Rattus norvegicus: one gene and its partner. The protein of the gene in region 1 interacts with the protein of each later gene in a pairwise test. Links are inferred from orthologs where the notes say so. Each region holds a gene or a part of one and is shown in the gene's direction. Other genes may lie near its edges.

Region 1 (4,504 bases):
AGCACTTGCTCAGTGTGAACAAGGCCCTGGGTCTAATCCCAGCACGGCATAAACTAAACATGGCTATCTGCCCTTGCAATTGTGGCGCTTGCGTGGTGGGAGCAGAAAACAAGAAGTTCTGGGTCATTCTCAGCCACTTATCAAGTTGAAGTCCGGAACACAGGAAACCCTGACTCAGAGGGAGAGCTGCAATGTCGCTGAGGTTGGTTTCCAACTCCTGGGGTTAAGCAACCTCCCTTCCTCAACCTCCACATCATGGCTGTGTCTCACTAGAAGCCTAAGCCGTGGTCTGTTTTGGGGATACCTATACGAATGTCATGGAACACCTACGCTAACATCGTCAGGGTACCGAATTATGTTAGATTCTCTGCTCCAGTCTTACACACTTTCCGAGACTCCTGGAGCTCCAGTGTAAGAAGCCCTCATGGAATTCCACAAGCCCGCACTCCTCTCGGTGCAGAACTCCCACTGTCCTGAATTGTGTGGCTGACCCCGTGATCCTGACTGGCCTCCCAGTAAAGGTTTCTGCTTCTAGGGGTAGGAGTGGGGTAACCTAGCTTCCACCTTGAAAGCAAACACAGTCTTTTCTCCAAGGCCCAGCCTTGGCCTTTCTTAGAGTCTGTCTTCTTGGCCCTTCTCCAATCACCGTCTCTGTCTGGCCAGGCCCTTTGGCACTCAGCAGCCTGGCTCTTGTTTCTGGCTAATCTGTTCTACAGCTTAAAATTTCTCTATTCTCCCACCATAACAATTCCTCGAAGGTGGGGACAGCTGAAACAAGGAAACCCCTTGATCTCCACAGTCACCAGCCTGCTCCACAAGCCCACGCCCCACACTTAGTGCGAGTCCAAAGGCCCTTATCTTGAACGTGGCTTTCAATCCTTACTAGAGGCTGTCTTTCCTATCTAGTTTCAAGTTCCTCGGTCCCGCCGAATCAACCTCTTTTTTTCGGAGCTGGGGACCGAACCCAGGGCCTTGCACTTGCTAGGCAAGTGCTCTACAACTGAGCTAAATCCCCAACCCCTCGAATCAACCTCTTAAAGTTCTTTCAGATTCAACTTAATGCTGCACTATCAAGCAGGATTTTAATCTCTTCTTCCCTAACCTTGAGCTAATCTCCTGTCTTCTCTCTGCACACATCTATAGTGACTGGTGCTCGCTTTTGAACTTTTATTAGATTTAGTCTAAGCCACTCTCCCCGTTCAAACCAGGGGACTATTTATCCTCACCCTCACAACCATCTTTCAACTTCTTTCGAGTCCTGGCTGCCAGGCGTGAAAAGGCAGAGAATGTACAAAAGTCGCGATCCAGAAGCAGACACTCTCCAGTAAACGACCTTGAACGTGTGCCCTCAGGGCAGCTCTCTTAACTGTTGGTGGCCTTAGGCAAGCGGTGTCTGGTCTCACAACACCCTGCCGGGCGCCGCCAGAACCCGGGGTTAAATGCAACCAAACAAGCTAGAGCTGCCCTGGGGGAGGCGGGCTATGCTGTCATATGATTCTCTAATCACATGATCCCTAGAAATGGGGTGTGGGGAGACAGAGGAAAGGGAGGAGGAATGTGAAATGAGTAGAAAAAGAAACACAGCATTCCTGGAGAGTCCCGCCTCTACGTAGACAAGTAACCAATGAAAGCCCTGGATCTCTGAGCCATGGCTAATGGAAATTGAGGTGGGCGGGCCATCGCGCGGCCAAGCCCTAGTCCTGGAGCTGACCGCCAGATGCCTCCCAGGGAGCGCGGACCCCGACGCAGGTAGGAGGATCCTTTGCAGATATCTCCCCCGCTACTGTCCAGAGGCCTGACCAGGCTGCTGTGCAATTGAGGGTCCTCTGGAGTCTCAGCTCAGAGACAAGAGAAGACCTGCCTCTTGAAACTCCTCTAGGGGTTTCTGATGCACTAACGAGGTTTTTTTTTCTTTTCTTTTTTTTTTTGGGGGGGGGGACGAGCGGTTGTCGTAGATACCCCCAGTAAGAGGCTCCTCTTGCCCAGCATGTTGGAAAGCTGCAGGCCTTTCTCCAGGGCAGGAACCACCCCACTCTTGGGCCAGCTCCTCTGTCTGTACCTGCCACCTGTCTCCAGGTCCCGGCTCTTTCTCTTTCTGATGCTGCAAGTGGTCTCCGCGGCGGCGTGCAGTGGGTGGGGAGTCTCCCGCCCTTGGTCCCCAGAGCTCAGAAGGGTTGGGGGCAGGACCCGGGCCTGATGGCTGAATCCCTGGGTTGTGTCAGTTGTATTTCCTTTCTTGGGGGCGAGAGAGCTAACTTCCGCCTGCCTCTCCCCGCCACTTTTCCCTGCTCCTTCTCATTAGGATTGGCTCACCTTTTCGGAAATTCATCTCCCCTTGACACTCGGAGATGGGGGGTGCCACCTAGTGGAAGATGCCGGAGCTAGGGCTTTGAAAGGCTCCGGTTCTCCCTGGCTGTGTAATGTAGAGGTGGTCAGGGGCTCACCACTCCCCAGTCCTATTGAGAGGAATTGGGTCTCCCTTACCCCTTCCTGGTTAGGAAATGGCCTCTGGGATTTTTTTTTTTATGTGGGTGGGGGTTAGGTTAAAGAGCACTTGGAAGGACCTAAAAAAGGAAAGAGAGGGGGTTGGGGGAGACGACAGATCCTTCTATGTAGCCTAGGCTGGCCTGGGATTCACCTTGTAGCCCAGGCTGCCCTCGGATTCACCTTGTAGCCCAAGTTGGCCTGGCACTTGCAACCCTCCTACCTCAGCCTCTCAAATGCTGGGATCAAAAGCATGCCTGCCATGCGTGGGTGGCATTTCCTGCCTTTTGTAGCCACCAGTGTCCAGGCAGAGATTGAAGACTTGAGACACAGGGAAGGAACAATTTCTGAGGCCCTCAGTCATAGATTAGAGTGTTACTTCCAGGACTAAAACCCAACTGCAGCTTCAACGAAGTCCCTGTACCCACCCTGCTTCTATCCTGCTTGGGTCACCTGCCAAGAAATCTTCTGCCCCATCCCTCTGCACCTCTGGCCTCTGGGAATCAGGGTCCTTCCCTGGCAATGACCAGAGACAACGGTTGGCATATGAACCCAGTCTAATACCCTGTCTTTTCCCCCCTGGCTTGATCCTTAGGCATGGATTTGAAAAGTGAAAGTAATATTTTAATTATTGCTTTTCATAGATTGCTGAGAAATACAGTGAGAGGGGAAAATGGCTCCCTGGAGGGTCTTTGAATATTACTGGGTTTGCTGCTCTAGGCAGAATAACATCTTTCTGGGTTGCTGGGTAGACCATCTGAGCTGGGAAAAGGCTTATAGGGAAGTGAGAGGTTCAGTTCCTCCTGCTGAGGCAGAGAGTCAGTGAAGAGGTCCACTGGTTCTTCCCACTTGCAGCTGAGTTTCGATTTCTGATCAGGGAGAGACAGAGGCAGTCTGTTTGAGGAGTCCAAAAGGACCCTGGTGATGTCCGGAAGGCCTCATCATGAAGTTAGCTTTGAGGCTGACCTAGCCTCTGTGTCCCCTTCCCTTGAGTGGGGTGGGGACAGTTGTGGGTAGGCAGTGGCTGGCCCATAGGGAAGCCAGCCCAGACCCCACTGGCCACAGTACTTCTGTTTTTACAACTTTCTCCACCGCTAGGTTTCCCATATGATCATGTGACTGATGACTCTGTCCCCCAAGGCCTTTGAAAGCTACAGGTGGCAGACAGTTTGGTACCAGGCCGGGGTGGAGTTAGGCGGGCGGGATGGTGTGGGGCTGGCTTCCTCTTATGGCTGCTAAAGTCTCTTCTGCCTCCCAATTAGTCCTCAGTTCCATAAATCAAAGCCACAAAAGCCACATGCCTTCCCGACTGTCATAACCCCCTCCCCTCCTCTCCACGCACTCAGACTCTCAGGCGTTAGGCCATATGAATCGACACTGGTGTTCCTGCCAACATTCATGCTCACAGTGAGTGCAAGCTGACACACGAGTGCCGTGCACGGGTAGGGCGCTGACTCGAGCGACACATCTGCCTGCTTTCCCGTTGAGAATGCTCAATAAACCCAAGGCCTTGGCCTGAGCACAGGGGAATGCACAGCCTTGGAGTAGAAGGTGGCACAGGCTTCAAGATGGCTGCCAGACTTTGCTTGGCATTTGCAGGCAGACCATGTGGATCCTGGTGAGCTGGCTGGCCTTAGTGGCAAGGCTGGTGGCTGGAACACAGTGCCCAGATGGTCAATTCTGCCCTGTTGCCTGCTGCCTTGACCAGGGAGGAGCCAACTACAGCTGCTGTAACCCTCTTCTGGTGAGTGTCTCATGCCCCAGTTGGCAGCCTGGGCTTTCTGAAGGACTGTCTACCTCAGATTGGCCAGAGGACTGGCACAGATCCTTTGATTGATGTCATCTCTTCTTTCCAGGACACATGGCCTATAATAACGAGCCGTCGTCTAGATGGCTCCTGCCAGATCCGTGACCACTGTCCTGATGGCTACTCTTGTCTTCTCACTGTGTCTGGGACTTCCAGCTGCTGCCCGTTCTCTGAGGTGAGGCCGCCATTGGCTTAGGGGAACAGGAGATTGAT
Region 2 (2,562 bases), on another chromosome or scaffold:
AGATTGGAGGACATGGGTTGGGGGGACACTAGTATTAGCTAGCCGTAGTGGTAAAGAGGCTGGCAGGGGGTGGGGGTTGGGAGGGTCCGTTCAAGATCCAGGAGAATGCTGAAGCTCTGAACAGTCAGGAACACAGGGGTCTAAAGATCCCCCATTTAGAAGGGACATTGGAGGTAGTGACCACTGAACTTCACCGCTGTTTACTGGAAAGGGGCGGGGGCGGGCAGCATAGAGCAAGACCTTTCAACTTGTTTTGTTTTAACCGACTTGAACTAGTCTGTCAAAACAGAGCCCAGGAGCCCTTAGGAAGTTTTCAGAGCCGGGTTACTCTGCAGTCCTTGCCTGAAGCTGCAATGCTGATTCCTTGTGTGTGTTGTGGGGTGGGGGCGGTGGGGGGGGTGTCCTTTCCCGGAGTTTTGGCATTTATCAGATGACAAAGGGCTAGCTGGTTTAAAAGCACTTACATTAAATGCTCCTTGTGCTCAGCTTTGAGCAAACAACTTCAGTTTGCAAGCTGCACTTGGGTGAATAGACCAACATTAAACAGCCCGTCACAGACACCACTCCCGCCAGCAAAGATACAGTCCGTATTTCTTCACCGAGAGTCCCCAAGGGTTTCTCCTCACAATAGCTCGCTGGGTCCACTCCACTAGAAATAAAAATAATAAGGGGTGGGAAGGGGTGGGGTGGGGTGGGGGACGCAGACTGGAGCCCTAACAGTAGATCTCCCCTGGAGGACTGTGCCCCTTACTCTCCTCATCCGGGAACGAGCTCATTGAAAGATCTTACTCCAAACTGTTACTAATGCAGCCTCAGTTTCCCCATCTGACTAGTGACTTACAATCTTTGTTCTGGCCTGAGAGACTAAGAGGTGGGAGAGGGCTTAGGAGAGGGTATGGGAGGTCGGTTCTGTTCCTATTGCTCTGTCCTAGCCCAGCCCCCCCTCCCCCAGGACCCTTGACCATATCTTTGTGTTACAGTTCTCCCTGCCAGCACGGAGGCGCCTGCGTGGATGATGAGGGCCGGGCCTCGCATGCTTCCTGCCTGTGCCCCCCTGGCTTCTCGGGCAACTTCTGTGAGATCGTGACCAACAGCTGTACCCCTAACCCATGCGAGAACGATGGCGTCTGCACCGACATCGGGGGCGACTTCCGTTGCCGCTGCCCAGCTGGATTCGTCGACAAGACCTGCAGCCGTCCGGTGAGCAACTGCGCCAGTGGCCCGTGCCTGAACGGGGGCACCTGCCTCCAGCACACCCAGGTGAGCTTCGAGTGTCTGTGCAAGCCCCCGTTCATGGGTCCCACATGCGCGAAGAAGCGCGGGACCAGCCCCGTGCAGGTCACCCACCTACCCAGCGGCTACGGGCTCACCTACCGCCTGACCCCCGGGGTGCACGAGCTACCTGTCCAGCAGCCCGAGCACCACATCCTGAAGGTGTCCATGAAAGAGCTCAACAAGAGTGCCCCTCTCCTCACCGAGGGACAGGCCATCTGCTTCACCATCCTGGGCGTGCTCACCAGCCTGGTTGTGCTGGGCACCGTGGCCATCGTCTTTCTCAACAAGTGCGAGGCCTGGGTGTCCAACCTGCGCTACAACCACATGCTTCGCAAGAAGAAGAACCTGCTGTTGCAGTACAACAGCGGCGAGGAGCTGGCGGTCAATATCATCTTCCCGGAGAAGATCGACATGACCACCTTCAACAAGGAGGCTGGTGATGAGGATATCTAAGCAGCGTGTCCCCTCCCCCTCCCCCAGGCCCTTCTACATTATCGGGGTTCCTCACAGCTCCCTCTATGCGCTCTATGCTTCTTTGTGGTGGAGTTCGCTCTTGTGTGGAATCTAGTGAACGCTACGCTTACATTTATTGTCTCGTGTTGCTGTGTGACAAGCTGCCGCTAAGAACCCCTCCCTCCCTCCCTCCCTCCCTCCCTATTAATGCATGATATAATGAATAATAATAAGAATTTCATCTCTAAATGAGTTAAAGAAATAAGTATGTTATTCTAAACTCTATCGAATATCAAATATAAAATCAAAAAGACCAAAAAAAAACATGGCAACAGTACCAGGGCTTGGTGCTGAGGTCCCTCTCCCAGGGGAGGGGTGTCAGCCACCAGGTCCTCGTGAAACCACAAGAGTCCTGTGCTTGACCACTCACTGTGAAAAGGGCTAAACTCTTTCGTTCGTTAATTCTCACGCACACACGCACACTCACTCACATCAAGTCTCACACCGCAACCCTTAGATCTTTCCAATTGATTTGTGACTTTGCTGCGTGCGGTGGCTGTGTGCCAGGCAGAGAGAGACCCCAGGTTGGCTGTTGGCAGAGAGGTCCGGGGACCTAGTCCCAACCCTGCTGCTCACTCGCCGTGAGACCCTTGGCGAGAGCCCCCCCTCCAACCCTGGGCCACTTCCCCACCCCTCCCCATAAGGGAGGGGTGCAAACACCCAAACACCAAGGTCTTCTCTAGCTCCCAAATTCAGAATTAGGAACGAGGGATGTGTAGCAAAATTCTTCCTGACTTCGGTAGTAGGATCTGATGGAGACTTGGTCTCATCCTG

What was found.
Region 2: the proteins of Grn (region 1) and Dlk1 interact in binary tests that used the Homo sapiens proteins (3 or more experiments, as listed by UniProt). The link is inferred for Rattus norvegicus from reciprocal best matches to the Homo sapiens genes GRN and DLK1.

The regions. Positions count from the first base shown.
Region 1 is NC_086028.1:87,886,134-87,890,637, forward strand, and holds the start of Grn (progranulin isoform a precursor), read left to right. Parts: upstream 1-1,700; 5' UTR 1,701-1,717; coding exon 1,718-1,749; exon of another isoform or gene 1,750-1,901; intron 1,902-4,083; coding exon 4,084-4,228; intron 4,229-4,340; coding exon 4,341-4,466; intron 4,467-4,504. UniProt on the Homo sapiens protein: Secreted protein that acts as a key regulator of lysosomal function and as a growth factor involved in inflammation, wound healing and cell proliferation. Regulates protein trafficking to lysosomes, and also the activity of lysosomal enzymes.
Region 2 is NC_086024.1:134,197,801-134,200,362, forward strand, and holds the end of Dlk1 (protein delta homolog 1 precursor), read left to right. Parts: intron 1-980; coding exon 981-1,728; 3' UTR 1,729-1,979; downstream 1,980-2,562. UniProt on the Homo sapiens protein: May have a role in neuroendocrine differentiation.